2 linked regions of the Notamacropus eugenii genome follow. The protein of the gene in region 1 interacts with the protein of each later gene in a pairwise test. Links are inferred from orthologs where the notes say so. Each region holds a gene or a part of one and is shown on either strand. Other genes may lie near its edges.

Region 1 (15,390 bases):
GGGGAGAAGGCAAGGCATTTGAGGTTAAGTGACTGGCCCAAGGTCACACAGCTAGTAGTAAATGTCAAGTGTCTAAGGTCAGATTTGAATTCAGGTCCTCCTGACTCCAGGGTCAGTGCTCTATTCACTGAGCCACCTAACTGCCCCTGATTCCTATTTTGCAATTTAACCTAAGATGTCTAGCACAATGCTTGGCACATGATAGCCAGTCAGGAAACATTTATTAAGTGTCTACTATGTGCCAGGCATTTTGTCTTTTTATCCTCTACATTAGTATGGTACTTTGTTTCATAATGGGTGCTTAAAAATGCTTATCACGTATATGATGCATTGATGAGGAATTAGAGTTAGGTTTAGGTTAAATATAATGAATCTACATAATGGTCATGTCCAAAAACATATGTCCTTAAGTATATCAACTCTCTATCAAGAAGTGAATGGATAATGGAATGGAAAAATGGTGAATGGAAAAAAATTCATCATGTATCTTTTGCAAACAGGGTTGTTCATTGCATTGATCAGAATTCTCATTTTTTTCAAAGTTGTTTTCTTTACAGCGTTGTTCATGTGTAATTTTTTTTGTTCTCCTAGTTCTGTTTACCTCTGATTCTGCTGTGGTGCTGTGATTCTGTGGCCCATGAAATATATTGCAAATTTAACAAGAGTTTTTAGCAAAGTATTCAGATATCATATGTAACACTCTTTGGAAAAGATATACTCATAGCTACAGAATGTACAAAAAATAGTTGTTATTTTTCCCTATTTGCTATGCCACATGCCAGAAATCTAAAAGAGAGGCTTAAAATGAAGCCTCTATTCTAAAACTAATTTTGTTTAATTTTGCATCTGATTGTTGAACTACTCTTTTCTTCATTTTCTCTATTTATTCTGCTATTCCATTCCATTTATCATTCTCCTGCCTTTCCCTAGGTTTGTCTTTTTCTTTCATTTCTTCCTTCACATGGATTTGAAATTAGTCCAGAGGAAGCAGCAATTTTTAAGTATCATCTTCCTGCAATGGTTCACTCCCCAAAAGAGCAAATGCTGATGAGCAAATTGAATTTTTGTTGGCACAATTTATCCTTTAAGTACCAATCTAGAAAAGGTCTTTTTTTTCAAATGAACCTGGAATGTAAGATGAGACGCTCTGGAAGGTTAGGAGGAATTATTTTTTCTAAGACTGACACTTTTATTGCCAACTGGTATTATTGTCTATAGTTTTATTTTATATCCAGGCATGTCCTAGAATGAGTTCAATCTCCCCACTTTTGTCAATCTTCTCTGTCTTCTGTATATTTAAAAAGGGATAAATTCACATCCCCGTGAATGTTCTTGAAATCTTTTATTTAAAGTCTCTAGTATTGAAAGTCCTCCAGAACCTCTACAGGTAATCCATTCCACTTCTGCATAGCTTTAACTCTTTAGAAGTTTTTCCTTACATTAAGTCTAAAATCTACCTCTTTCAGATTTTCATCCATTTTCCCTAGCCCTGCCATCAGTGCCAAAAGAGACCACGTTTCTTCTTTACTCAAGGTTCTTTCATCAACGTTCATAAGACATAAATTCAAGAAGCTTTTCCTCTGGGCACCATGTAGTTAATTAACGTCCTTCCTAAATTAGTATCCCAATATCCAGAACTGAACACAATACTCTTGATATGGTCTGACCAGGACTGAATCCAGCAGAACTGTCAACTCCATCTGGTTAGATACAACTCCTCTCTTAATGTACTCTAAGATTTAATTCTCTTTCTTTGGTGCCATATTATACTGTTGTTTCAGATTAAACTTGTGGTCTACTAAAACATTCAGATATCTTTCAGATGAATTGTATTCTAGCTATTCCTCCTCCATCTTGTATGTATGAAACTCATTTTTTAAACCCAAAGGTAGGACTTTATATTTATCCATATTCAATTTGATTCAAATTCTGCCCCATCAATATCTGTGTAGAACCTGTATGTTAGCTGTCCTTCTCAGCTTTGTGTATGTGATCAGCACATTTAAAATACAAAACATAAAAATACAGGAAAAATAGCCACTTAAGGAATAAAGTAGCTTCAAAGACCATGACCCCCTTTTACCAGAATAAAATGCCTGTTATGGACTCAAGAAAGTACTTTTCTTAATCAAAATTTATGATTTTATACTTTGGTCCCTAATGGCATTCTGCCATCATTATGTGCTACATGTACTATTATATATGTTCTCACTGTCATTGTGGTTTCGTTAGTTACCCCATTCCTGTGGATTTATCTCCACTTATGAAAGACTTTCAGGAAATGTTTTGTACCAACTATTCTTGCCCTACTTTTTTTAGTCAATCCCTTTTCTGAGAGCTAATTCATGTCTGCTGGTCATCTCATTGGCAGTCAATGAAAAACATACTGATGGGGACTCATAAGCCACAGTACTAAAAAACCAAAACAACAAAAACCAACTAGCCAAACAGTCAGACACTCTAGCTTTTCAGGATTACCCCAAGGATGCTAAAAGGAGAAGTAACACCTCTACCATCTAAGAAACTAGCCCTTAAGTGTAAATGAAGGTCAAGGGAATTGCTCTACGGGGACTGTTACAGTATAAAATGAGACCTGGAGGAATGATACTCTTATTAGGCTCTGGATATTCCCAGCTCCAGGAAGGATCACCATGACAATACTGATAAGGGTAGGATGAAATGATAAAAATTATGTGGATAAAAATGATTAGTAACAAGAAATTTCATGTAATTAGAGCTATATAAAACTAGAATAGGCCACCTTAGGAGGTAATGAATGTACAGTATTTTCTCTGGAGGACCTTCAAGTCAAGTTTGTATGATCATTTCTCAGGTAAGCTGGTACTGTGGTTCAAGGTATGTTTTGGACTAGGGTGCTTCCTATGTCTGTTTCAACTCTGGAATACTCTGAGTAGTATTTTGAAATTGTTTCTTTGCGCTTAGTGTCATAACAGGCATTAAATGAAGTAAACTAAACCAATCTACTAAAAAAAAAGCCATTTATTAAGTGCTTTTTATGTACTAAGCACTATGTTAGATTCTGGGGATACAAAAACAAAAATGAATTCCCCTTCAGGAGGCGAAGTAGGAGAGCAATGAACCTGCAAATGTACAAGTTATTGACCTCTAAGAGTCTAAAACTGAGAAACTTTAAATTAAAAATACAACTCTCCTTACAGTTGTATATGTTTGGGACCTGACTTTGATCATGGCCACCTTCCTAAGGGAGAGTCAGAAGCCACCAGGTGATAAAAGATAGTTTATAAAGGCTTCCTTCCCCAAATAATCCAAGAACATTTGAATTCAAATTCCATAAATAATTAAAGATTGTCCATATAGTCCGACCCTCTCACTTTACAGATGAGGGAACAGACCAAGAGAAGTTTTTATTTTTATTTGATGCAAACGTTGAGGTACACGGAAGGATTAATGGGTCAGCTTTGAATATTTAAAAGGGGGAGTCTGAAGTAAAGATAAAGGCAACGTTCCCAGAAATAGCTAGGGAAGTGTTAGCTCAGATCAGCCAAAAAATTGTCTGGATGAATGAGGCTTAGCAATTTGGACAGTTTTTAGTTTTGTTTCCATGTGCCAATTCAGCAATCTTTTATCTTAATTTTTAAAAATAGATTTACTACTGGGAAGAGAATTTCTTCTCTCAAGGTATCAAATGGGTTTTTTTTCACACAAATTATATTGGGGTGATATGAACCTTGATAAATTTTTGGTGAAGTTTCCATGATTGTTTTATAATATTATCATAGCTATCAGCCTAGTTACCTAGAACCTGTTGTCCTTAAGGGTATGGAAGGTGATCTTTACTTTCTTGGCCAGGAGAGGTTAATTTTTTGGATTATAAATGTAAATTTATGCCTACCTGCAGGTAAGATTCCTAGTTTGAAAAGGTTTTCACTACTTTTCACTGGGCAAAGAACATAGTTAAATGATGGCACATGCTTCCTGTGAGATATTTGCTTTTGAGATCAGCAATTTGCAGTTAAGTATTGAAGTGGTTAGACTAGGAGCCTTGGAATCAGGAAGACTCATTTTCACCAATCCAAATCTGGCTTTAGCCTCTTACTAGCTATGTGATCCTGGGCAAGTCACTTAATGCTATTTGCCTCACTTTCCTCATCTGTAAAATAAGCTGGAAAAGGAAATGGCAAACCACTCCAGTATCTTTGCCAAGAAAACTCCAAATGGGGTCACGAAGAGTTGGACACGACTGAAATGACTGAGCAACATGGATTTACTTTAACAGACAGGGGATCTTAGACAATAAAACCTAGGGAGAAATGAATTCACAGGGTTAGTAGCTCAGATAGGTATTGGGTAAGAAGAAGGTGGCTTTTCTGATTGCATAGATAGTAGGGTACTTTCCAGGGATGTACACATTGACAATGAGGTTGATGCACACATTGCCAGAGCTAGCTCAGTGTTTAAGAGGCTCCGAAGAAAAGTTTGGGGGAGAAGAGGTATTAGACTGACTACCAAATTGAAGGTCTACAGAGCTGTTGTGTTGACCTCATTGTTGTGTGCCTGGGAAACTTGGACAGCCTATCAGCACTGTGCCAGGAAACTGATTCACTTCCATTTGAATTGTCTTAGGAAGATTCTGAGGATCACCTGGCAGGATAAGGTACCAGACACTTAAGTCCTTGCTCGAGCTGAACTGCCAAATATTCAAACTATGCTTCAGAGAGTGCAACTCTGATGGGCTGGCCACGTTGTTCGAATGCTAAATGTATGTTTGCCAAAAAGACTATTTTATGGAGAACTTTCATGGGGCAGGTAATCACATGGCGGCTAAAAGAAACAATACAAGGACACTCTCAAGGTCTCTCTCAAGAACTTTGGATTTGATTGTGGGACATAGGAGACACTGGCACAGGACCGCTCAGCATGGTGTGCCCACATAAGAAAAGGTGCTGTGCTCTTTGAGCAAAGCAGAATTGAGATAGCACAAAGTAAATGCTGGATGTGTAAATTTGAGATACTCACCCCAAATATTCACATGGACTATCTGTGCCCAACCTGTGGTAGAGCACTCTGAGCTCATATTGGTCTGATCAGCCACAGTCGGACACACTGAAATTTCACTTTACAATGGCGATGTCATTTTGGCCCTCTTCAAAGATGAAGGACAACAACCAACCAACCAGATGGTAATCACAAGATAATAAGTTCTCTTTGGGAGAACTCTTCAGGATGGGCTCCCCATCATTTGAAGTCTTCAAGTCAGGTTTGACCTGTCAGAAAGTTTGAAGAGAAAATTTTTGTTCAGGTTATAGAATGGAACAGTTATCTCTGAGGTCGCTTAAAACACTGAAATTCTCTGGTTTTGAGTAGGTTGAATAATGCCATTTTCCCCCCCTCCCCATATAGTGCTAGCAAGAGCCAATCAGACGTGCAGTAGCAGGAGTGATTCATTTGTAATTGCTGAAATATTGTTTTGAATTCCACCTTTGACATTAGCTGTGTGACCATGGGCAAGACTACGAGCCTCAGTTTCCTCCTATGTAAAATGAGGACCAAGTAGATCAAAAGAGAGAATGTAGACTTTTAAAGCACTACATAAGTGCTGCTTATTAGTGTCATAAAACAGCATTTTAGTTTTGTGAGAAGTATTATGTCAGACTTATAACAGTTTTGCAACTCTAATCAAAAAATGTACCTTTCAATTCTTTTTGTAAAATAAAATTACAAATGTTATCAGATTTGCAGGATATACAATTCTCCTTTATCTACTATTGTGATATCTTTTTATCTCCATCTCCTTTGCTTCTGTCAAAGTTAATGAATAGTTTGTGAAAATTTCAGCTCACTCTGTAAAGTAACTGGTAAAATAAGGGCAATATAAATAGAAGACATCTGGAAGAAGTGAAAAAATTAAAGCTATGGCTATACAGTGCCAAAACTGGTCAATCATTGAAACAAACTAGTTTTTTGGCAGAGTACAGCAAATAAAAAAATCAATTTGACTGACTTTTGAACTTTTCGGTGGGTTTTATTAGGCATGTAGACAGACTAAATAAGATGTAAATGGTGAAAAGAACAAGTAACAAAAATAATTTATAAAGGAAAATTTATAGTCTACCTATATTCTACCTTTAGAAAGGATGCCTTAAAAAGTGCTTTAAAAGCTTCATCCCATACAAAAGGATGACAAAATGTGGAACTAAATTTTAATGCAGGTAGCAAGTTGCATTGCATAAACATACATTTTTTTTTTATTTTTTAGCATGTCAGCATGTCTCTGATGGCATGGTCTCCTTCCCCAAGGAAGGATGAACACACTCAGTTTGACCCAGTGACAGGTATCTGTCAGAGAAGGGAGAAAAATCAGCACTGTAGTTTTCTGTCATTAGCTGGAGAATGGACTTAGGAAAAACTTCAATACAGCCTTTGCCAGGCTCCTTTACTTTGAATTATACACTGCTACTTGACATAAATTATAAAAATAGATTATAGACTCACCTACAGAGACTCATACATTTTTGGTTTCCTTTGTGCTCCCTAAAGAATTTAGCCAGCTTTAATCTGTACTAAAAGGGGTGCGTGTGTGTGTGTGTGTGTGTGTGTGTGTATGTGCATACACTCGCTGGCATATGTATTGTAGGTAGGACAGATTCTCTTATCTTTGGTACCAAATTTTATAGTGCACGGATCAATGTTTATGATTTTGTGCCGTTGGCAAAATTAACTTGACAATGAGTCCTAGATGGATTTTTCACTGAGTTTTAAATTGAGTAAACAGGCAAAGAAGGAGAGTTTTTCTCTTATTTATTGGAGACAACTGTTGCAAAACACTTCTCTGATGCCTCATTCCCATTTAGAGTTCGAGATTCTTTAAAAGATTCTTCTCCTCTTAGCCAGGTGGAACACAAGATCAGGCAGTCTTAGTAAGGTGGAAAGGATTTGAGCAGGGCCAGTGGTGGAGTGTTGGACTGAAGACCAGACTGGTTAATATCGGAAAGATCCTAGGTCATCTGCAAGGTGAATAGTTTTTTGGCCACTCTTGTGGATAATTTAATAAGATTTGTGATCTGTAGGGGAGGAGAGAATTCCACTCATCAGTTCATAGTTCTTTTATGTATTGACTTCTCACCTTTATTCCCTCTTCTAAGTTTTGGATACTCTAGGGGCCAGTCTCCTGTCACTGGATCAAACTGAGTGTGTTCCTCCTTCCTTGTGGAAGGAGACCATGCCATCAGAGACATGCTGACATGACTTGCACTTGACTTTGTTTTAAGTGAGGGAGGGCTGTGCAGGTCATCAGCCCCACTTCTCCTCCAGAGCTATCTGAATCCAGTGACCAGCTATTCATCAGGATGACTGGAGATGACCCAGGATGAGGCAATTGGGGTTAAGTGACTTGCCCAAGATCACACAGCTAGTGAGTGTCCAGCGTCTGAGGTGAGATTTGAACTGAAGTCCTCCTGACTCCTGCACTGGTGCTCTATCCACTGCACCACCCAGCTGCCCCTACTGGGTCAATCTAAGACTGGGCACTAAGCAAAATGCTGGGCAAAGCTTTTTTTAATTGATAAATTTTGTTTCATCATACACTCTCCCCCCAAATCGTGACTGAACCAAGTATCCGGTACACCCACAAAACATCTTAAAGTAGCAGATCCCGGTGACTGACGGTACTCGCAACCTCACCCCATCATGTAGTTTATTGGCTGACCAGTCAAATGGAAGGTTAGGACTGACCCAGCAACGTCCGCTGCGTTTAACCTGATTTTTTATTTTTTTACCATTTTACGTACGTTACATTTTTCTTACGGCTTTGCATCACTTTATACACGTCTACATGTGCACATATTTTCCGGGTTCTCCAGTCTTTTCTTTTACTTTAGACCGAACCAGGGATTTCATCCTTGCGTCTGCGGGGAGCATCCATCCTTCATAAAGCTTTCAGGTGTGCAGGCGCTTAGCTACGACCTCATACGGTCATCCATCAGCACTTCTGGGCAGTCTGGGGCTGCCAGGGGCACAGAGAGCCTCTCCTCTCCTCTCCCACGACGCTCCATTTTACTCATGTCTCAAACATGTGGCGCAGACTTGGTTTCCACTTTCCGCGGCCGCCCGGTGACACTAGCGTCTGGTCCCTGAACCTGAAAAAAGAGACCCACCAGTTGGGAGGTTTCTCAAGTCCCGCGAGTTGTTACCAAGATCTCGCGGTATCACTACTGAGGTGGGGGGGGGGGGACCCGGAAAAGGGTTTCGAGAGGGATCGGGCCTGACCGTTTGCGCACGCGCTCTCGCGAGATTTTCCTAGAACAGGAGGGAATGAAGCGCTAAGTGGAGGCCGTGAGGGCGGGGCAGGCAGAAGAGCTGCTCAGAAAGCAGGTCCCCGCCCCTTTTTCCCCACCCTCATTTCCCCACCTGTGTCGAGCTCCAGCGGGGCAGTCGGGTGGGTAGTGAAGCTCGCCGCCCACCCGGAAGTTTGTTCTACCTCTTCCCTTCACCTCCCCGCCCCCGCACGTGCTCCCCCCTTCGCTGGGCTGGCTTCCCGGGGGAATTCTGAGCCCTGAGCGTCCTGCGTAATAACTGTAGCCTTAAGCCTCAGGTAGGACCGGGCCCGGCGGGCCCCTAAGTGCCTGGGACAGGTCGCTGTCCCCCTCGCCAGATGGCTCCCCTTGCTTCCGAGTCATGGATCCCCGGGGAGAAGCAGCAGAAGGTACAGGGTCTCACCTGAAAGGACTCGTATACTTACGTTTATTCCGTCACATCATTCTCCTTTTTGTTTTCCTCTGGATTTCTCCTCCCCGGAACATTTGACTTCAGCTTTGCCTCTTACAACTCTTGGTTTCCTTCAAATTTGAGTCCAGGAGTTTTTAACTTGGGGTGTGTGAACTTTTTGTTTTAATACGTACATAATATGTATATAAAGATATAGATAGATAATTGGTGTCCTTTGGATTACTATGTATATTACAGTGCATTTAAAAACAAGTGTGAAAAGAGGTCCGGAGTCAGTGACACAAAAATGGTGTAGAACCCCGGCTTTCACTTATGTGCCACTTTCTACTGTAAGGCTTGCCTGATCTCCCTAGTGCTCTCTCCTTCCCCCCAGTTCAACGTGTATATAGTTTTTTGTTTATATTTTGGATTCCTTTCATAGACGGTAAGCTTCTTGAGGATAGGGAAGTTTTGTGTGTATCCCCAGCATCTGGCTATGTCTGGCACGTTAGCAAAGGCCGCAGAGAATGATACTTTGTTGCATCTCAGCTTCAGAGGCTACATTGCGTGCACAGTCATCTGCAAACAGAAAATCATGCACCACCGCTCCCTCCAATTTGGTCTTGGCTTGTAGCATTTTCAAATTGAACAGTTTACCATCAGTACGTACCCGTGTTCATAATAAGTGCCTGTTATCTGATTGACATGGCAGAGGGTCTTTCACATAGAAGGTACCTAATAATTCTTATTGGATTGGAATGTTAGGAAGAGTGATGAATTGAAGGGAAAAGATGAGTTCAGTTTTTGACACGTTGACTTTGAGATGTCCAAATAGAAATGTCCAGCAGTCAGTGATGTAGGACTGACACACAGGAAAGAGGAGACAGCTGGACATATATGTTTGTGTATATATATATATATATATATATATATATATAGAGAGAGAGAGAGAGAGAGAGAGAGAGAGAGAGAGAGAGAGAGAGAGAGAGAGAGAGAGAGAGAGAGAGAGAGATTTGGGAATGAGCTTTTTAAAGAGGATGTTGGAACTGGTGGAAACTGAGAACAACATGAGGAAGACTGGAAAGAGAAAAAATGAGGGGCTGGCATAGAGCCCCAGATGTACCCACAGTTAAGGGATAGAAAAATGGGAAAGATCAGTCAGAGAAAAGGACAGTGTGCCTAAAACCTAGGGGAGAGAGTGTGTGTCTTTGTTGGAGTGGTAGGTAGCATTCTAAAGTGGTGTGGAGGTCATAAAGGGTGAAAACTGAAAAAAGGCCATTGAACAGAAATTAATAAATGTTAGGAGAGCAATTTCAGTTGAATGATATGATTGGAAACCATATTACAAGGGATTGCGCCAGAATTATGAGTCATGTTATACGTGATTTATATGCCAAAAAAAAAAAAAGCTCAGATTCTTACTCAACAGACTTCATTGGCTCCCTATTGCCTTTAGGATTAAATATAAAATCCCCTGTTTAGCTTTTAAAGATCTTCATAACCATATTCCTTCCTACCTTTTCAGTCATCTCATATTTTATTCCTTCTATTCCATGTACTCTGTGATCGAGTGACACTGTTGGCCTTTACTGTTCCTCACACACAGCATTCCCATCTCCCAATTCTCTGAATTCTCTCCCTCCTCACCTATGTCTCCTAGTTTCCCTGGCTAACTTCAAGTCTTGGCTAAAGTCTTGCTTTCTGCAAGAAACTTTTCCAAGTTTTCTTTAATCTTTGTGCCTTCCCTTTGAGACTGCCTCCAATTTATTTTCTATATATCTAGTTTGCACATATTTATTTACTTGTTTCCTTCATTAGACTGTGAATTCTTTGACAGCAGGGGCTGTTCTTTTGCCTTTTTTTAAAATCCGTAAGTGCTTATGCTTATCACAGTTTCTGGCATATAGTAGGTGTTTGTTAAATCTAGTTGACTTAGCTTTGGCCATTATGTAGTTAGTATCTTACTAACTTATATGCTTATATAATGCTTATATATTTTCTCTTTCTAGTGCTCTGTTCTCCAACCAAACTAACCTGCTCTGTGTGTCATCCATAGGACACTCCCTCTCTCTTCTGTCTGCATTTGTACTGGCCATTGCCATACCTGGAAGGCACTTCCATATCTTCTTCACAAAGCTTTTCCTGATTCCAGCTGCTGCAAGTGCCCTCCCTAACTACCTTGTATTTATTCTGAATTTTTTTGCATTTTTTATACACACACTTTTTTTTTCTCTCGGTAGAACATAAGCTCCTTGAGAGTAGAGTTTGTTTCATCTTTTGTTTATATTCTTTCTTAGTGCCTAGCACATAGAAAGCATTTAATAAATGTTTGTTGACTGATTTTTGTAGTAACCTTTTTGGCAGAGAGCATATCAGTTCAAACCTAACCAGAAAACTTTTATTTTAAACTTAATTATTGAAACTCTTTCTTAAATGTTACTGTTCATTTTATTGCTGAAAAATCAAGCTGGCTAGGCCTGGCTGCTGCTTCTCTTTCCAGTCCAGGTGACAAGATAACTTGTCAGCAAGACAGAGAGCATGGTTAGGTTTCCTGGGGGTCAGTCTTCCTGAATCCAGGTAGCAAGATAGTTGTGTTTAAAAAATAAGCTAGCAGTTGAGAAAGCAGTGGAAAAGTGACAGGTGACAGTACAGTAATGGCAAGTTTTTCAGAGGAGGAAAGGAGGAGATGGTCGGCTAGGGGTTTGAAGATGAAGCTTCTATTCACTGAATTTCAAGATTAATTCCATGTTTACTATTTCCATCCTTGTGCAAATAGCCAACTTTCTAGTATGTTAGTTTAGTTAGTTTCTTATCCTTTGGTTATTATACAACTTATTGTCTAATTGCATCATAGACTGCACCTAATACGCTTATTACCCCTGACCTTCAGAAGATTCTCTTACTTGTTACATTGCCCTATAGCAAGTCTTTACACATTTTTCTTATATTTACACCAGTTCTGACTACAAGTTTCTGCTCTTTTGGGTAGGAGGGGATGGGACTATATTCTGATTTGCATATCATTGTGGTTAGCATTGTGGTGTTAAAATGTGGAGGTCTTTATGAGTACCTCCACATCAGTCAGCATCCACTATGTCTGAAATTCCTCTAGGCTGCTATGGTTTTTTTGGTTTATTCTCAATGCATGGTCTTGTCTTGAAGAAGCTAGTGCTTGAGGAGTTGAGCTAAAATTTAACTTGTAGAATCATACACGTTAGAGCTAGAAAGGACCTTAGAAGCCATCCAATCCAATGTCTCTTGTTACAGGTGCATAGTATGAGACCAGGAGTATACTGGTCTTATACTTACTCTCAGTCTATCACTTTTCCTGCTGGGCTGCAAAGACTGCTCCACAGTGTCAGATAAGTGAGATGTTACTGAGTATCCACATGGAAATAGGTATGTCTGTTTTATTATAACAATTTAAAAACTTTTTTCCTTTATTTATTTTTTTTAGATATGTGGCACATTGGAGAAAGATGTCTCGTCCCTGTCACAGACAGTGGAAAGCTTCGTGAAGCAACAGTGAAATCCATCATGACAGATGAAAATGGAAAGTCATTTGCACTTGTGTTATTTTCAGGTTCGCTGGAAGAGAAAGTACCTTTAAAAAAACTCCATAAAACAACATCTGGTAAAAGTTCTTGCAGAAGTTTTTTGTTTGATGATGTTGACTTGGAAAAGCCTTATTTCCCAGACCGAAAACTTCCATCACCTGCTGTGACTTTTAAGCTATCTGAAGATGGTGACTGTATTCCATATACAATTAATAGATATTTGCGTGACTACCAGAGGGAAGGAGCCCAGTTTCTGTATGGACACTATTCCCTGGGAAGAGGATGTATTCTTGGTGATGACATGGGACTTGGAAAAACAGTACAGGTATTTATTCTTTTGTTCCTGCAGTAGTTAAAATAGTAATGTTCTGATCTAGCTTGTTACTTGCAGTATCACTGTGGCAAAGGCAGACACAGAAGTTACTTGTATCATGACTTTCACATAAGTTTCTTAATAAATGTTTGTTGAATTAATAAGTGAATGAAGTGTGAAGTCATTTTATATCCATAGAGTTACCCTAAGGAGGGACAATGTTCTTACCCATTCTTTGAAGTATTAAACTAAGGTTAGATTATTTTCCCAAGGTCTATTGAATAGGTTGCTTAGAATTTGAACTTTCTTGTATCTTGCATTCCCTTGTTAGTTATTAAAGAAATATTTATCTGGCTTACGGCTTATTATCTTTCCCTTGTTTTTTTTTTTCTCCCTTCTTTCTCCTAACTCTTCATTGTTCTTTCCAATTCCATATTAACATTTTCAATTTAGCAGAACACTGAGGACTAGCTGAGTTTTAAAACTCCAGTTAGTAACAGAATCTCAGATGCAAAGGACCTCGTAAAACATTTGATCCACTGACTCCTGATCAGAATCCCCCTTACAACTTTGCTAACAAGTGCTCATCCAGCCCTCAGTTAACATCTTCTGATACTATCTTTTGATGCAGTCTATTCTGTATTTGGATGATTTTAGTTTATAACATGATAGATTGAGAGCTGAAAGGGACATCAGGGGTCATCTGTTTAACCTCTTCATTTTACAAGTGGCAAACAGATCCAGGAAGTAAGCCACTTGTCTAAGCTTGCACAGATAATTGTTGAAAAGTATTTTCTTAAAATGAACCAAAATTTGCGTTTGTAGTTTCCACCCATTGCTTCTTGTTTATTCTTTTGGGGGGCAAACTGAGCAAGTCTAATCCCTCTTCTGTGTTATAATCCTTCAGATATTTTAAGAGAATATCATAGATTTAGAACAGAGAGAGACCTTAGAGGCCATCTCGTCCAACCGCCTCATTTTGCAAATGAGGAAAGTGAGGTCCTGAGAAGTAAATAAAATGACAAGAGCCAGAGAGCTAAATCCTAGGCTTTCTTTGAATACATCATGCTTTTCTTTTCCGGTTCCTTTAACTGAATTTACATGAAGTACTTTGGAGGCCCCTCACCATATTGTGGCTTTCTTTGGATGCTATTTTTTCTCTTTAAATGTCTTATTGATGCTTTTTTTTAAACATCAGGGTCACTTCTCAGTGCTACCCCTCATCCCTTCCAACTCTTCTTTGTAATTGTTGTCAAACAAAAGAAATTAGCCCTTTGGTAGCGTCTGAAAGCAAATACCTCATTTTATAATCAGAACAAAAAGTGGGAGGAGGTCGTGATTGGTCTTTCAGTTCTTCTGATACAACATCTCTCCCACCTGTGTTGTCTTTTTTCTCCAATTATAAGTTTACCACCCTGGTTCAGGCCCTCATCACTGCTTGTCTGCACTATTGAATTGGTCTTCTAATTGGTTTCCCTAATTAAGCCTTTCCCTTTTCTATAGACTGTAAACTTCTTGCAGTCAGGAACAATTTCATTTTTGTCTGTTTCCCCAGTGCCATACACAGTGCATAGTGACAGTTTAATCCGTGCTTGTTGACTGATTAATGGTCTCCTCTGTCTCTTTCCGGTGATTCTCCCCTTAACCTTGGTTCTGAAGGTACCTGATCTGGTTTGTTCAGACTTTGTTATGGTATGACCTTTTTAAAATTTGGGTCATGCATCCATCTGAGCTTATTGTGTTACATGATGTAAGATCTTAACCTAATAGCTACCAGATTGCTTTTCAGTTTTCCTGTTAGCTTGTGGCAAAAAAGAACTCCTCACAGTATTTTATGCTCTTGGTTTTGTCAAACACTGGGATACTTTTTTCAGTTCCTTATTCAGTTATGTACCACTAATGTTTTTTTTCTGTTTTCTAGCCTCTATTGAATAGTGTTATGACTACTGATTTATGATATAGTCTCATCTCTTATAATGCTATTTCTTACCATTTTTCTCAAGAATTTCATAGGAATTCTAGATCTTTTGTTCTTCCATATGAATTTGTTATTATTCTGACTGGTCTAAATAGTGTCCCCTTGATAATTTGATTAGTATAGTACCGAATGTTAATTTAGGTAATAATCATCATTTTAATTATATTGACATGACTTATCTGTAAGTAGTATCTCCAGTTATTTTAGTTTCGCTGTATTTCTTAAAAAAAAAAAAAAACAAAGAAAGAAAGATGTTTTATTGATGTCTTTTGTCTTTATATTGGTCATTCCTTCTACCCCCATTAAACCCTCTCTTACCCCAAAGAAAGATAATTAGGCAAAAACTGAAAAAAAACCCAACTCTAATGATACAAAAATTTTATCAGACATATAGGAGACATAATTTGTCCTTGTAGTCCCTCTATCCATATCTTTTGAGGGAAGTTGAATGTTCCTTATCTCTTCTGGTGGCCTAGTAGGTGAGTACTGGGCCTGGAAATGGGGACCCTGAGCTCCAGTGCAGGTTCAGACACTTTTAGCTGTGGGGCCTTAGGCAAGTTACTTCATTTCTCTTTACCTTAGTTTCCTTGACTGTAAAATGGGAATAATGATAGCACCTACCTTGCAGGATTGCTTTGAAGAGTAAATGAGATCATATTTGTAAAAAGCATTGTACCTGACACGTAGTAGGGAGTGTATAAATACTTATTTCCTTCTTTTCTCCTTCTTCTTCTCTAGGGCCATCACTGATTTTTCCTTTTCTTTTAGCTATCTTTTCATTTACATTATTGTAGTTGATGTGTATGTTGTCTTCCTGGGTTGTACTTATTCTGCACTGTATCAGTTTGTAAACATTT
Region 2 (15,187 bases), about 210 Mb from region 1:
TGGGACCATTGAATATAAGGGGAATTCTGTAATTTGTTTTCTCAGATATGCAGCAGCATGAGTGTGCCATGAGCTGGAAAGCCCATAGTGGGGAGGTCTATTCTGTGGAATTTAGCTACGATGAGAACACTGTGTACAGCATTGGAGAGGATGGGAAGGTAGGTTGGGTGTGAGGTAGGTGGGTGGGGATTTGAAATACTCCTTAGATTAAACCAGTTTGTCTTGAGCTGTATTGGAGGTGATGATATGGCTCTGGACACTTATTTAGCATTAGGAGTTTTCCCTCCTCACTGGCATGGGTTCTGTTGGATTTTAAGGGTTATTAGCATTTGCTTCCCTCCTCCTGAGGAGGGAGTGACCCATATCACTGTAGGTGGCAAGGATGGGAGTGGGTAGTAGGGATCGAGAGGCTGTAGGTTAGTGTGTAATGTGATAGTTCTGTGAAGGGTTTCAAGTCACTCTTTCTACTATTGTTTCCCTCCCATAAGCTGCCAAAGTCCCTGAAACATTTTTTTAATAAGCCATATCTTGCTTCTGAGGGCCAAGTTTTTAGAAAGGAGATGGACTTAGTGAATTGGGCTTCCCATTAAGTTGGAATAACGACAGAGGTACTTCTGGTGACTGATGATCTCTGTGCTCCTGGTGCCAGATGCTCTTTATTTTAATAGCTTTAAGTGAAATTTTTTTGTTTTTTATGTTATCTGTATTTCTCACTATATCCTTCTCCTCTTTATCCTGTTCCTTCCCAGAGAGTCCTATCAGTAAAACTAACCAATGTAGTTGAAAATATCTGACATGTGCAGTGACCCATACCCATTTTCCCCAATATCTAGCGGAATCAGGGGAGGTGCTTTCTCATATCTCTTCTTTAGGATCAAGCTTAGTCATGATACTCTGACACTATTAAGTTTGGGTTGTTTTGTTCTTTCCGTTCTTTTTGTCATAGTCATCTTTTAGATTGTTTTCTGGGGTTCTGCTTCATTTTACAGCTACTTTTTAATTAGCAGCTTTCTTCTTGTTCTTTTGTAATTCTAGTTTATTCAGTGGAACATCCACAAGAGTGGCCAGAAAGTGTCTGAATATTCCCTCCCCATGGATGCCACAGGCCCCTTTGTGTTATCAGGTTACAGTGGATACAAGCAAGTCCAGATTCCACGGGGTCGTCTCTTTGCTTTTGATTCTGAAGGAAATTACATGCTAACTTGTTCTGCTACAGGGGGCATCATCTATAAGGTAACATGGTTGAAGCAGTAATTCCTGAGTATTTCTCTTGAAGTCCTCAGAGTCCCTTTCAGCTCTAAATCTCCCATGTTGTGATCTTGTGGGTGGATGGGTACCCTTTATCTGGATCTCTGCCTCATCTAGTATGCGTTTGAGTTTTGCTTCCTGCCTCAATGCTTGGTACTTGTGGAGCTCTTCTTTGTATAGAAGTCATTCTGCCCATATCTTTTGATTTGACTGGGATTGTGAGAAAGAGAGAGAGTGTGTTCCTGCAAAGTTGAGACAGTGTCATGTGATGGAAAGAACTTTGGGCTGCTGTCGATCACTAATTAGCAGCTGCCTGACCCTGGGCCAAGGAATGTTAATAAGGAGAAAATGAAAGTAGTTGGACAAAGAATGTTGGAAAGTAAACAACTTGGTATAGGCTCCTTAACAACATGGGCCCTACTGCTTATAAACACGTAGCAAATCTTTTACCAGGATAGAAATCTCCTGGTGAAGTGACAAATGCTGGAATGACTTTTTTCTGAATTGTTACCAAAAAGCATGATACACTTCCAATTTTTGTAAAATAATCCATTTAAGCTATAAGCAGTAATCCTTTATGGTTGGAGGGAGGGAGGTGACAGTATATATCTAATCTAGTCAGCCAAACCAAAGTACTCGGGGATCCAGGCATGCTTATCCTTACTCAGGTTAAGTATGCCTCTTCCCAATCTAAATGAGGTTTGGCAATTTAAAATGAGCTGTCCAACTTTTCCCTAAGGGTTTCTTCATTTCCGGTGGCAGTCCATTCCAGAGATCTCTTATTTGTCTCTTTTTTCTTGTCTTCCTTTGCAGTTGAGCAGTGATGAGAAGGTCTTGGAGAGCTGCCTGAGCCTCGGGGGTCACAGAGCCCCAGTGGTCACTGTAGACTGGTGCACAGCCATGGACTGTGGCACTTGCCTTACTGCTTCCATGGATGGCAAGATCAAGTTGGCAACCCTGCTGGCTCAGAAATTCTGATGGGACACTGAACCAGGGAAGCATTATAGAATGCTTATGGAATCAGTATTAGCATGAGGTTGAGATCACGGACTGGGAAAGAGGAGATAGAGAGAGACTGGCAGGTTTATTACAATAAATTGTCAGCTAGCTGGGGAACATGTGGAGCAGGAGGCCAGAAAACTATTGGTCCAGGATACGCACAGACTCTAATGTTGCCCCAAGCTCCCACTGGACTATTGCAAGTGGCTCAAAAAGACAGATTTCTGGTGACTTTTGCTCTGATTCCTGTGAACCTTGACAGTATTTTGTGTATAGACAGTTCTTGCTTTTAAGTAAATGAACCCTTCCGCAAAAATCTACTTAAAGCGATTTTTCCATAATGCAGATTTGCCATGGACACAGGGAAGGGAGGGAGAGGAGCAGGAAGGACCTCCCCCCCAGCACCTGTGGAGGGAGGCGGCCAGCACACAGTTGAAGGACTCATGGGGCCAGAGACAGAGAAGTGAGAACAGGGAGGAACATGCAGGGGTCAAGGCCAGCTAGGTGAGGTCCTGGCTGGAACCAAGAGGAGGAACACTTGGGAAGCAGACAGGTGGGGTCTGGACAAGAACACAGACAGGAGAGGATGGGAGCCAGAAACAGATACATGGCTATCCAGGTCAGGGCCGGGGACACGTGGGTGCTTGGAGCATGGCAAAGATCTTCTATCTTGGTGCCAGGTGTGGCAGTGGTGGTCTGCGTGTCTGTTCTCCTTTTGCTTGGAGGATTGGGGTATTGGTTGTTTCTTGGTGTGTGTGGGGGGCGTGATGCCAAGGAGCAGGAGCAGAGAGAGAGCAAGAGAGAAGGAACATAGTACTGTACAGTTAACACAAGTGTTTTCTGGGATGTGGATTTCTTTCAGAATTTTTTATATAAAGTCAAATTTGCATAATGTGAATTTATATAAAGCAAGAACTTTCTGTATATTTATACATTTCTTTTCTCCTCCCTTTCTTAAAAGAATATTGTTCTCACTGAGGTGTCTTTCTATAGAAGTGGAATGGAAAAGAAGCTCCTTCAGTGAGTGACCCTTGGTTGTGATCCCTTTACATTATTCAGAAAGCAGAAGTATTGTCTTGGGAGCTTAACCGTCTCCTTACTGCCCCAGATAGAAGCATTAAGACGAAACATGGTAGTGTGGTGTATAGTGGATAGTGCTGGGTTTGAACAGCAGGATGGTAGTTTAGTCCTGCCTCTGATGTTTACTATCTGTGTGACCCTGGGCAAGTCACTCTGAGCCTCAGTAACTTATCTACTAGCTTTTAGATTGGTGGCAGTCTGTATGAGTGGGGGATTTCACACACTGATGAAATCTCAGATCTTTAAATATGTGTGTTACATAAACGGTGAACTTTCCATAGTATCTGTCAGACTAAAGAGGTTTGAGGTGTTGGTTTATTATAGAGGTGAGGCTGTTTATATAACTCACAATCTATAATTACTCACTTGCTCTCCATTCCACATGTGCACCTGTCTATATATATGTTCTCTAATGCCACTTATACTTTGGACTATCCTAGATGAAAGGTTTATTTTTCTGCTCACAAAACTTTGTGAGGGGATGTAGTTTCCTCTCCTGTGGGAAAGAGATGTATAGCAGATCTAAGGCGGACCTAAGACCTTTGGCTTGTAGCTGCCTATCTGTAGCAGACCATGGTACCTGTTTTCCCAGGACTGTTTCCACTCAGCCCCATGATTCCATGTATTCCTGTTGGTGGTTGTCTTATACCTGCTAGCTCATGAGGATCAGTAGCACCAGGACTTGCATTTTGATTCTCCTAACCCCCATTTCTTGTGTGCAGATAGAAGAGTACTGTCTTCACCCATTTGCAGTTAAAGGAATAGAGGAAGATGGTGATTTGTCCAGATGGTGAAATTCGGTGGCAGAGCTCAGACTAGAAGCCAGGTTTCTTGTTGCCCAGGTGCTGGTACTACAACTAACTAGTTCAGCAACTAACAGTCATTAAGCAAGTCTGATTTGTGTCTTTGAATTCCACGTTCCTTAGTCAGGCTTATAGTCCCTTCATATGCTAAAAGTAGAAAACAGTTCCCTCCTCCTCTTCCCTGGCCTGTGGGCCAGGGGAAATAGCCCAATGGTACTGTTGTCACAGCTATTGCAGTGAGGAGTGAAGTCAGCAAGTCCGGAATTTGTATAGATGACTGGTGAAATAATAATGATAATAGTTAAATGTTAAAGTTAAAATGTTAAAACATTAAAGTTTGCAAAGCACTTTACATGTGTTCTCATTCAGTTCTTACAAAGTCTCTGAGGGTAGGTACAATTGTTCTCTCCATTTTACAGATGAGGAAATGGACCAAGAGAGGTAACTTAGTAACTTAGCCCAGGGTCACACAGCTGGTGAATGTCTGAGGCTGAATTGGAACTCAACTTCTTGACCCCAAGTCTAGAGCTCTTTCCACTCTCTACCTGGTATTGCCATTGAATTGGCTCCTTAAAGGGATCAACTGGGAGGTGACGGCTATTGAGGCTGACAAGGCATATACACATCCACCCTATCTCTCCACTGCCAGAGGTTGGGCTGGTTCTAACTCAGTTCTGGGGCTGGGCGGTGCCTCAGGTTTCATTGCCTCTTAGTTATCCATGCTCTTATGGCTACAGGGAAATGGAGAACAAATCTAGGGCTTTGTCCTGCTTGGGGAGGAGGGAAAAGTGAAAGAATTTAAATACTGAACCTGCATTTGAGCAAGCTTGAATGTGAAGTGGAGAGGCGTATTCCATTTCCTGGATATTAGTGGGATGTTGACTATTGACCACCTCCCTCTTGAGAATACATTCTCTTGCCTTCTTCTTGAAGGACACATTCACATCATACATATTCTGATTCTTCCCCCCACCCCAAGTGTAGGAAAATCAAGGGAAGATATTTTCTTTTGATAATTTTTTTTTCCCTTCCCCTTTGTTGAAGTGGTAACTGTTTCTGTCAAGGCCCCCCATCACCCTCCTTGTCTTAAAACTTAGGTACTACTCTTGATCCTTCTTAACCTCCCTCATCGAAACTACTCATCAACTTCTTTTCATTTCTCCTTGATAGTCTCTCTTGAATCTTCCTCCTCCCATTTGAAAAAAAAAATCCCATTTGCCTTAGTTTATCTGTAGCTAAGAAAACATGGCATATTGGGTAGAGTGTTAGCATTGGAGTCATGAAGATGTAGGAAATCTCGCCTTTGAAGAAGATTACCTGTTTGATCTAGGTTGAGCTACCTAACTCTCAAGTCTCAGGCCACTTATTAACCCCTACCAAGTTATTGACAGGTTGTAATGTGTATTGGTGTTTCACTGATAAACCACAGATCCTTCAGGCATCCAGTCAAGTGGATGTGCCATCTTGAGAAGAACAGTCGTGTATTTCCATTCTACACTCCCCTTTGGGTTAACCCCTCCAATCCTACCTACTGTGAGAGCATCCTGGTTCAGACTCTCATCTATCACCTTCTTCCTGTTCTATAATCTACACTGCACACTGCTGGTTCACGTCTTAATGGGGCTTGCAGCTCCGTCCTAACTCCTTTGTGACTTCCCATTACCTACTTATGTTCCTTAATACTGGTTTTGAAGACTCTCTACAATCTGATGTTAAGAGCCACCTTTTCCAGGCTGCTGAACTGGGCTCATTTTCCATTCTTGTTCTTCACTCTCCTGTCTCTACCTCTTCAAGAACCAATCTCTTATCTGCCTCATGAAGTCTTCCTTCTTGGATTCCCCCACTGCTTTCCTTCAGATATCTTGTGCCCCCCCTCCCCCTTTGTTTTATGGTGAGAGAGGGACTCTTTGCACTTCACAATTCTGCCTTGTATTACAGTCCCTAGTCCCTTATCTCCCTTCCCACTTCCCTTTTTTTAAATGTGTAAGCTCCTTGTGAGCAAGGGCTGCATTGTTTTTCACATTTGTATCTCAGTGCCTTGCACTTAATAAAATCTTAATAAACAAATTGAATTTATTGAATTATGTGACTGATAACCAGTGGCTTCACAGGGCACTGAAGGATGGCAGCTTCCAGGTACGTGTATTGAAATTCTTTGCATTGCCTAAGAAGTTTAATCCTGAGGGGTTTTGTGTTCTGGTTCAGTAAGAAACAAAAATGTTTTGTTTGGCAAACACAGAGTTAGTCTTACCTATATTCACAGATGTTAAAACTTGCTTCCGTTCCTTGGGGTGCTATTCTATTTTAGGGGATTAGAAAGCAGCTCCCTCTGAGGCAGCTAGGTGTCCTGGAGTCAGGATGCCCTGAGTTCAAATTTGACCTTGGAGTCTTACTAGCTTTGTGACCCTGGGTGAATCACTTAACCTCTGCCTTAGTTTTCTCAACTGTAAAATATGGATTAACAGCATCTACCTCGCAGGGTTGCTGTGAAGATAAAATGAGACCATATTTGTGAAGGCCCTTTCTAACACTTATCCCTCACTCCTTCCCCTTATTTCATACCATAGTTGCTTCGGTGAAGCCTTTGGAACTGTGTTTCTCTGGCCAAAGTATACTTCAACCCAGTGAAAAATCCAAAATTTGTGCAGTGGTTTGCCCTATGAAGCTTAAAATATAAGCTTCAGGGCAGGAGCTGCCAGGAAGTAAGGCCATTGGCTTTTGCAGCTCAAATGTCTCAAGCCCTTTGAAGAGCAATTAATATGCCTGGCTCCTTCCAATCCTGGAACTTAAAAAGAAGAGGTTGGGGAATCCAAGATACAAACACAGTTTAATGGCACTGAAGCTGCCTTCCCACAGCAACACCATACCTGTCATGCTAATGATAATCATGGAATTTGGTGGGCTATTCATTTTACCCCAAGGCAGAGGCAGGAGATTGGGGTATTCCAGTCCTCCCTCGTTTTAGAAGGAACATCAGGAAAAAATAAATTATGAGATAAGTTTATGATGAAATTAATAATTAATAAAGTTTAGTGAAATTGCTGTTTGTCTTTCGTTGTTGGAGAGGACCATGACATCAGGAAGGTGATGCTGTGGACTTGCAAGTGAACTGGATTTAAGTGAGAGAGGGCTGTGCAGTCACCAGCCTCATTCTCTGTGGAGCCTTCTGGGTCCAGTGGCAAGACAGAGATCAGGACAACTGGTGATTTGGACATTTTTTCCACCTGATTTCTCTATAGCATAGAGAATAGAAAACAGTATAATTTGTAAGTTTTAAGTGTGGCACTATTGGCTGAAATGCTTTAGATTTTTGTAGAGCATTTTGTGTTTGTATTGCTAAGATTTCCTATGGTTTTTGCTTCTGTTTTGTAAAATCTTTCTTGAGTCAAGAAATAAGAAACCCCTGAATTCTGATATTCAGCGTTGCCTGAATACCTACGATGCTCAGTTACTGGATGCTGGTAGTGGTAGGAAGGATGTAAAAATGAATACGGTGGCAGCCAACCCTTAGGAAAGATGATTTATCCGGATAGGCGCAGTACAAGCCCGTATTTCTCCAGTGTCATGTAAGGGGACTTGTAGCTCAGCTCAGTCGTTTCCAGTGCTGTCAGACTGACCCCATTTGGGGTTTTCTGGGCACGTCCTGGAGTCGGTTGCCATTTCCTTCCCCAACTGCTTTTACAGACGAGGAGAGGAAGGCAAGCACGTGACTGGCTCAGGGTCACACGGTGCTCCTGACTCCGGCCCCAGCCCCCCCCCCCCCCCCCCAGCCGGTGCGAGGAGTAAGTGGTGTGGAGGACTTTGGACAGCTTTGGCTGCCAGGACTAGAGGGTGTTTTGGTGAAGTCCGAGCAGAGCGGGGGTGGGTGAGGCACGAGTAAAGGGGAAAGTGAATGGAGGCCTCGTCAAGTCCCGCAGAGCTAAGCTAGGGCCGGACCTCGGGAGGCCTCGAATGCCGCGCCAACGAGTTTGGATCTTCAACCGGTGGGCAACGTTTGGCAAAGCACCGAAGGACCGAAGGCTCCTGAGGGGAGTGACAGCCAAAAGAAACGTACGCTTGGGGGCCCAAGGAGTCTCCGGCTTTAGACTGAACGGCGCCTCCAGGCCTCGCAGAGTCCAGTGAGGCGGAAGGCCCGCCCCTTCACCTGGGAGGAACTCCCCGGAGGGGGAAGTGGGCGTGGCTCCCGGAAGCCGACGCCGAGGGTGGGGGGAGGAGTCCGCGGAAGCCGCACGGCCTCGTGTCCGCCGGCAGGGGGCGCCCCGTCCTCAGCGGCCGGAAGCAGCGGCCGCTCGCTCCTCGGAGCGGAGCCGCGACCTAGAGCCGGGCGGTGGAGAAAGTGCGGATCCGGGCGGGGTCCCAAGCCCGAGCAGCGTGGGAAGGTGTCGGAGCGGGGCCCAGGCTGAGCCTGCCCCGGCGTCGGGGACAGGAGAAGGCCGAGTAGGTGCCGCCGCTTGTGCTGGTTCGGGCCCGGGCGGGAGCCCTGGCCCTCCTCGGGACGCACAGGAGACCCCCACACCGGGAGCGGGGTGCTGGGCCAGACGGCTCCCGGGCCTTCCCGGGCTCCTGCCACAGAGGGCATGGGGCGAAGCCGCCTCCTGCGGACTTAGCGCCTCCCGGCCCACGTGACCGCCCCGAGCGAGGCCCCCGATCGTCGGTGGGACCGTGGGAGGGCAGTGCAAGCTTCGTGGGAAGGCCCGCGGTCCGGTGCCGCGGGCTCGGGCCGGACCCTAGGAGCGGAGGGTGGGCCCCCGAGGTGCCGCCCTCCGAGGCAGCCGGCACCGAGCAGGCCCCCGCTGTGGGCGGAGCACCGGCGAGACCCTGCCCTGTTTAACTCAGTAGGCCTAGGGCTGACTAACTGGCCCCATTTGGGGGTTTCTCAGCTCCTTCTGCAGCGTAAACTGAGGCAAATGTGGATAAGTGACTTGGCCAGGGCCACACAGCTAGGAAGTGCCTGGGGCAGCATTGAAGGCCAGTCTTCCGGACCCCTGGCCCAGCACTCCCTCTGTGCCAGCCAGCTGCCCTTACCTTCCGGGCATGGGGAAGGCAATCTCAGATCGAAGTTGTCGGGGAGTTGTTGGCCCAGGGTGTCAAGGGACCAGGCATTGGAAGAGGCCTGCAGAACGGAGGAGCTGAACCAGGTCTTGAAGGAAGCCAGGGAAACTTCCAGGAGATGGATATGAAGAGTGAGAAGGTCCTAGGCACAGACAGGCACAGCGAGGGAGTTGGGAGGTGGAGGTTAAGATTCAGCTGAGCAAACTTTCATTGTGTGTTGAGGGCATTTTTCTAGGGCCGTGGAGGCTAGGATTTCACTAAGGAGGTAGGACTGGGTCTTGCTCTTAAAAGATCTGGGAGAAGAGATTGAATTCAGTGAACATGTACAATTCCCCGGGCTAGTTTGGGAGGGTGGACCGAGAATTTAAAGACATGGTCCTTGTCCGTGAGCCACTGGTATAGTAGAGCCATAAACTCTAATAGATAAAAGGACACGATAAAGTCTTTTTAGGAAGAAAAGTGTGAACCTAGGAGTGGAGGCAAGAATGTTATGTTCTGAGACTAGTCAGTAGACCAGTTTGGCTAGATCTAGTGCCTAGAGCCTTAAAAAAAAAAAAAGACAGAAATCTGATGTGTTTAGGTAAACCAGAAGGAACCAGAAGAGAGAGAGAAAGAAGATACAAAAGAGGAAATGATTGATGGAACCAAGTCCCAGTCAACAGATGGGATCACTGAATCTTACACCCAAGGCCTCCACACAGATAGGGGACTAATAGCCAGATAAGCCCAAATGGAATCTTTTCCATGAAGTTGTCCTTCGTACAGTGGGCCAAAGAAGATCTCGTTTGAGCTCCCTCATCACTTTGCTATATCTCTGATGGTGCTTATTTTACTTGGGAGCATTGTCAGTCAAGATCACAAGCAGTCATTTTATGGGTCAGGCATTGTGCCAAGAATACAGACAGATTTGGCTTTTGTTACTCTGACAGGTGGTTCGTTTTTGCTGTTTTGAAACAGGGAGGCCATCAGTGGGCAATACATTTATCTGCGACACTTACCTGGGTCCTGAGCACTCTGCCAGGGAGTCTGGAGAGATGGCAAATGCACAGTGTGAGAGTAAAAAGAGGGACCTTCCTCCATGGATGACAGCCCAGGTGGCTGTGAGAAAATCAGTGCCAATGTGGAGGCCAACTAAGAGGAGAAAAAGCACAGTGCAGTCAGCACATGCATCATCAAAGTGAGTTTTTGCAAATTGCGGCTGCATAGCAGCAAAACCTTTGTGGTCTAGGGTCCTTTTAGTTGAGAATGAAATGTAACAGAAGGGTAAACTGAGACATATTTCTCTGAGCAAGATAACATTTTATTCACAGGGCATGAAACCTGAGAATAAGGTAGGTCAGTGTCTGCCTCAGTTTCCAGGTGGAAATCCAAAGTAAAAGGAAAACTTTTCTTTCGTAGGTTTGGGAAGTACAGAAGAAAGAACAGAACAAGATAGGTGACATCATGGGGTTGAGGGCAACATGATTGTTACATAGCTGAGGCTTGGGGAACAACATAATTGACTGGAAATTTGTAATGAATCCCTCCTCTTCCCTCCTGAGACTAAGAAGAGTTCATTGTTTGAGTTCGCCTGCAAGGTCAAACATACGGACCCACACTTCCTTGGACAGCAAATCAGACATTCTTGAAGGGTAGCATGGTGGTATAAAGATAGTAGGCCTGATTCCCACATCCCCCAAGGTTAGCAGTATTCCTTGAAGCAAAAACAGAATAGTGATTAGTGAGAGATCTGGATCTCTAAACTTAACCTATTACAGACTAGCTAAATTCTAAAGGAAATGCTACAGGATCAGTTTTCATCTTCTCAGAGGGGTAGTGGATAAAAGAACTGGGGGACTTTGTGGTTAAGAAGCTAGGTTCTGTGGACAGTAATGTGCTCAGAAACTAGAGAATGACTTTCCATGATCTGTTTCCCTGATCCACTGGCCCTTCCAAGATTTTTCCCCTACTCTTTGAAACATTTATTTTTTGTTCAGTTAAGAAAAATCTATTTTTCTCCTTTGCTACCATTGGAAAAAAGAAAAAGAAAATCCTTGTAACCTGCATAGACAAGCAAATCAAATTCGCTAACTGGCATTGTTCAGACAATCTGTGTTTTAGTCTGTACCCTGAGTCCATTACCCCTCAGTCAAAAGGTAGGCAGCATTCTTCCATTGTTTCTGGAATCATGGACAGTCATTGCACTGATCTCAGTTTTTAGGGTTTTTAAAGTTATTTATTTATCAGTTTTGTTATTGTGTAAATCTTTCTCCTGGTTCTCACTTTACTTGAAATTCATACAAGTTTTCTGAGATTTCTCTGAAACTGTCCTTTTGTAATTTCTCATGGCACAATAATATTCTGTTACATTTTTGTACCATAGTTTGTTCAGCCATTCCCCAGTTGATGGGCACCCTCTTAGCTTCCAGTTCTTTGGGATCTTCCTCTTTCTTCATCTATCAATACTCCTCTGTCTAGAAGGGAAACATTCTTAGGTTGGAAGAAACCTCCAGAGTGTTCATTCATTCCTGAGACACCTATATTCCTATTCAGAAAAACCTCATAAGTAGGAGAGTTCTGGTTCCTTCACAGCATTACAGAATTTTAGAGACATCTATAGCCCAAAGCTCTATACCCCGCAAAACATTTCCCACTACAACATGCCAGCAGGTCTTCAGCCTTTTCTCGAAGACTCACAGTGAAGGACTGCATGTTTTCTCCCCCATTAGAATGTAAACATCTTAGAGAACAAAAGGAAATTCAGAAGGACATCCAGACCAGCAAGGTAGACTTGAAATTGATGTCTTGAATTTATTACGGACTTTTAAAAAAGAGCAAACTATTTATAATGAAGATTCGTGCAAGTGCAAATCTCTTTTTTCTGTCCTTTGTATATGGAAATGCTTACATTTGTTGGTGTTTGTCAAATGCCAAATTTGTCAAAAATAAAAATTATTTTTAAAAAAGTAAGCTCCTTGAGGGCAAGGGCTGTTTTTGCCTTCCTTTGCATCCCTACTGCCTAGTACAGCTCCTAGTACAGGCCTTAATAAATGCTTATGGATAGATTGAAAGGGAACCCACTGCTTCCCATTCCACTTGTGAACAGTTCTAATTGTTAGGAAGATTTTCCTGTTGAGGCTGTGTTTGTCTCTTTGTGTTCCCCATCCATCCTTCCCAGTTCTACCCTCTGGGGCTGTACTGAATAAGTCACATCCCTTTTCCATCTGGCTACACTTTAAATGCTTAGAGCTCTCTCTCAACTCTCCTCACACACATATACCCATATCTCTCTGTCTCTCTGTCTCTCTGTCTCTCTCTCTTTGTCCTCTTTCTCCCTCTTTCTCCCTCTCCCTCTTATCCCTCTTCCCCAGGCTTCTACCAATCCTCATTCACTGTAGAAAATATTTCATTAGCATATACTGTGTAGGAAAACTGTGACCTGGTGAAGATGTAAAGGTAAATGAGATATGGTGACTTCCCCTTAGTGCTTTTTAGAGAATCAACTCTCATTAGAAAATGCAGTGAACACTGATGACAAACCAGATGTCATCCAGGACACATGGTTAATTGTGTTATTTTTTATTGCTTAAGGAACTTAATATCACTGTTGTGTGTATATGTGTCTTAATTGTATCAATTGAATGTATGAGGAAAGGCAAGGGCTTAAATTCCTTCATCTGAGAGCCCTAAGCTTCAAATCCTTTGTGGAGCAAGCTATTCAGATCTAAAGGATGTGTATAGTCTCATTCATGGCAGACAGGGCTGGGGGATACACAATCCTCAACTCCAGTTTCCTGTTTGTGTGTCCATCTGGGACTCACTTTGCATCCATCTTTGCCTTTGTTTCTTTATCTTTCAGTCTTCCCTCTATACGAACTGTATACTTCATGAATGAAGCCGAATTGGTGGATGTTGCTTTGGGTATCCTAGTTGAGGTAAGATCTTTTATTCTAGTGGATCCCAATTCGTGTCTTTGTGAACAGAAAACTCCTGAGAGTAGGTTTGAGTTCTTTAATGTTTAATGTTAATAAAAAATAGATAATAGCATTTCTGATTACCTCCATATGATCTAGTTGGGGATGGGGGTAAAGAACATTTATAAACACCCATTATGTGCCAGGCACTGTGTTGAGTAAGCACTTTACCAATGCTGTCTTTATTTCATCTTCACAACAACCTTGGGAAGTAGGTGCTGTTATGAGAAACTGGCAGACAGAAGCCAAATGACTTTCCCAGAGGCACAAAGCTAGGAGGCATCTGAGATTGGATTGAAACTCATATCTTCCTGACTCCAGGCCCAGCATTCTAGCCAGTGTGCCACCTAGCTTCCTGGTCTAATGTCGTGGTCTCCAAATGGTTTTTGATCATGCAGCTCCCTTAGTAATTTTTTTTTTCCTCTTGTGGAGGAGTGGGGTGATGTTTGTAGTGTTGATTTTCCTAGTGGGATCTGCCCAGCTGGTGCTGTGGATACTGCTCTGAAGCAGCTCTTAAGGGAAAGGATTTCACAGCTCTGGGAGGGGTGAAAGGATACAAGCTGGGTGAATGGCAAGTTACTCACCTCTTTGGGCCTCAGTTCCTTATTTACAAAATGAGGAAGTGGGTTTAGAGCAGAGATTCTTCAACTTTTTTGTAGCAAGGACCCCTTTGGCAGCCTGATGAAGCCTATGGACTTCTCAGAAATAGGTTTTTAAATACATAAGATAAAATTCATAGGATTGCAAATGAAACTAGTTATGTCAAAATACAGTTATTAAAATATTTTTAAAAACAGGTTCAGAGACACCAGGTTAAGAACCTCTGGACCTGTGAGTAACCTATAAGTCCTTTCAAGCTTTCTTAGTCTTTGACATTTATTTAATATATTCTCAATCAGTCAGACTTCTCTCCCCCAACTTCCCACATGTAATACTGGTGATGATGATGATGACAGCTGACAGTTTCTTAGCACTATAAAGGTTTGCAGAGGGTTTTTCTGGCATTCAGTGATTTGGTCCCAGCTGCACCCCTGTGAGGTAGAGAGTGTGTCATCTGTATTTCTCACAAGATTCTAAAACTCAGCCTCATAGAGGTATTTCTTGCCCATAGACAGCTAGTGTCAGATGGGATTCCTGAATCATGTTCTTCCTGACTCTAGCCCAGTATTCTCTCTCTATTGCTTCATGCAGCCTGTCACCACATTCATCTTGCTGACTCCTCACCCACACTTTCTTCTGCCCACTGTGTTTTTGTGTCCTCATACAAACATGGGCTAGGGAATATGGATGTCTGTGTGGCCTAGCCATTGACTTTGTCATCGTTGTGCTATTTTTGTGTAGGGAGATAGAAAGGAGTGGAAGAAGGATTCTGCTATTGTGTGTGTGTGATTTCTTAATGGTCTGGAATGAGTGCTTAGCTGCTGTTCCTTCCCTCCTTGAGTTCCTTTGAAGTTCTTTGACTCTGCTCATTCAAGAAGAGACCTACCTAATGAAATTATTTCTTCCAACTTTACCCTTTTCCTTCTGTTTGGGGCTAGAAGCTTCACTTCCTGAGCAAACTCTTTCCCCCAGCCCTCTTCTGTCCTCTCTCTAGTACTGGCTTCTCTGCAGAACTATCCAGAGGTGTATATGGGGTGGGGAATGTGGGGGTGGGGTAGGGGAGAGAATGTGGGTAGGTATGGAGGATAGTGAAGGGAAGGGAATGACTCATGATCCAGAAATTACCCTAGACCTGCAGGATTTTTTTGTCCTATATAAACAAACTAGGATGTCAGTAAAAAATAGTGTGCTTATCTTTTTTCCCCCCTCTTCAGTGCCGTAAACAGGAAAAGCCTTTGGAGCACACATTGCTGCTGGGAACTGATAAGGCCCAAACCACACAACCTGAGTCCCCCTGGGCTTCTGAGAGCAGTAGCAATGAAGAGGAGGTGAATGATGCCCCTCCAAGAAGTCTCTCAAGCAAACAGGAGTGTTCAACCTTCGACCACAAGAAGAACTCAGAAGAGGATGAGGATGCATTAAAATATGTGAGGGAAATATTTTTCAGTTGAG

The links.
Region 2: the proteins of ERCC6L2 (region 1) and CYREN interact in binary tests that used the Homo sapiens proteins (3 or more experiments, as listed by UniProt). The two-hybrid records come from large-scale screens. The link is inferred for Notamacropus eugenii from reciprocal best matches to the Homo sapiens genes ERCC6L2 and CYREN.

The regions. Positions count from the first base shown.
Region 1 is NC_092874.1:328,114,231-328,129,620, reverse strand, and holds the start of ERCC6L2 (DNA excision repair protein ERCC-6-like 2), read left to right. Parts: upstream 1-8,276; 5' UTR 8,277-8,655; coding exon 8,656-8,683; exon of another isoform or gene 8,684-8,850; intron 8,851-12,142; coding exon 12,143-12,567; intron 12,568-15,390. UniProt on the Homo sapiens protein: Promotes double-strand break (DSB) end-joining and facilitates programmed recombination by controlling how DNA ends are joined in a spatially oriented manner during repair.
Region 2 is NC_092874.1:114,679,774-114,694,960, forward strand, and holds the start of CYREN (cell cycle regulator of non-homologous end joining), read left to right. Parts: upstream 1-8,434; 5' UTR 8,435-8,567; intron 8,568-9,024; exon of another isoform or gene 9,025-9,321; intron 9,322-10,139; 5' UTR 10,140-10,216; coding exon 10,217-10,359; intron 10,360-13,020; coding exon 13,021-13,096; intron 13,097-14,949; coding exon 14,950-15,186; 3' UTR 15,187-15,187. Other genes in the region: WDR91 (WD repeat-containing protein 91), read left to right, coding at 46-158, 1,036-1,233, 2,062-2,226. UniProt on the Homo sapiens protein: Cell-cycle-specific regulator of classical non-homologous end joining (NHEJ) of DNA double-strand break (DSB) repair, which can act both as an activator or inhibitor of NHEJ, depending on the cell cycle phase.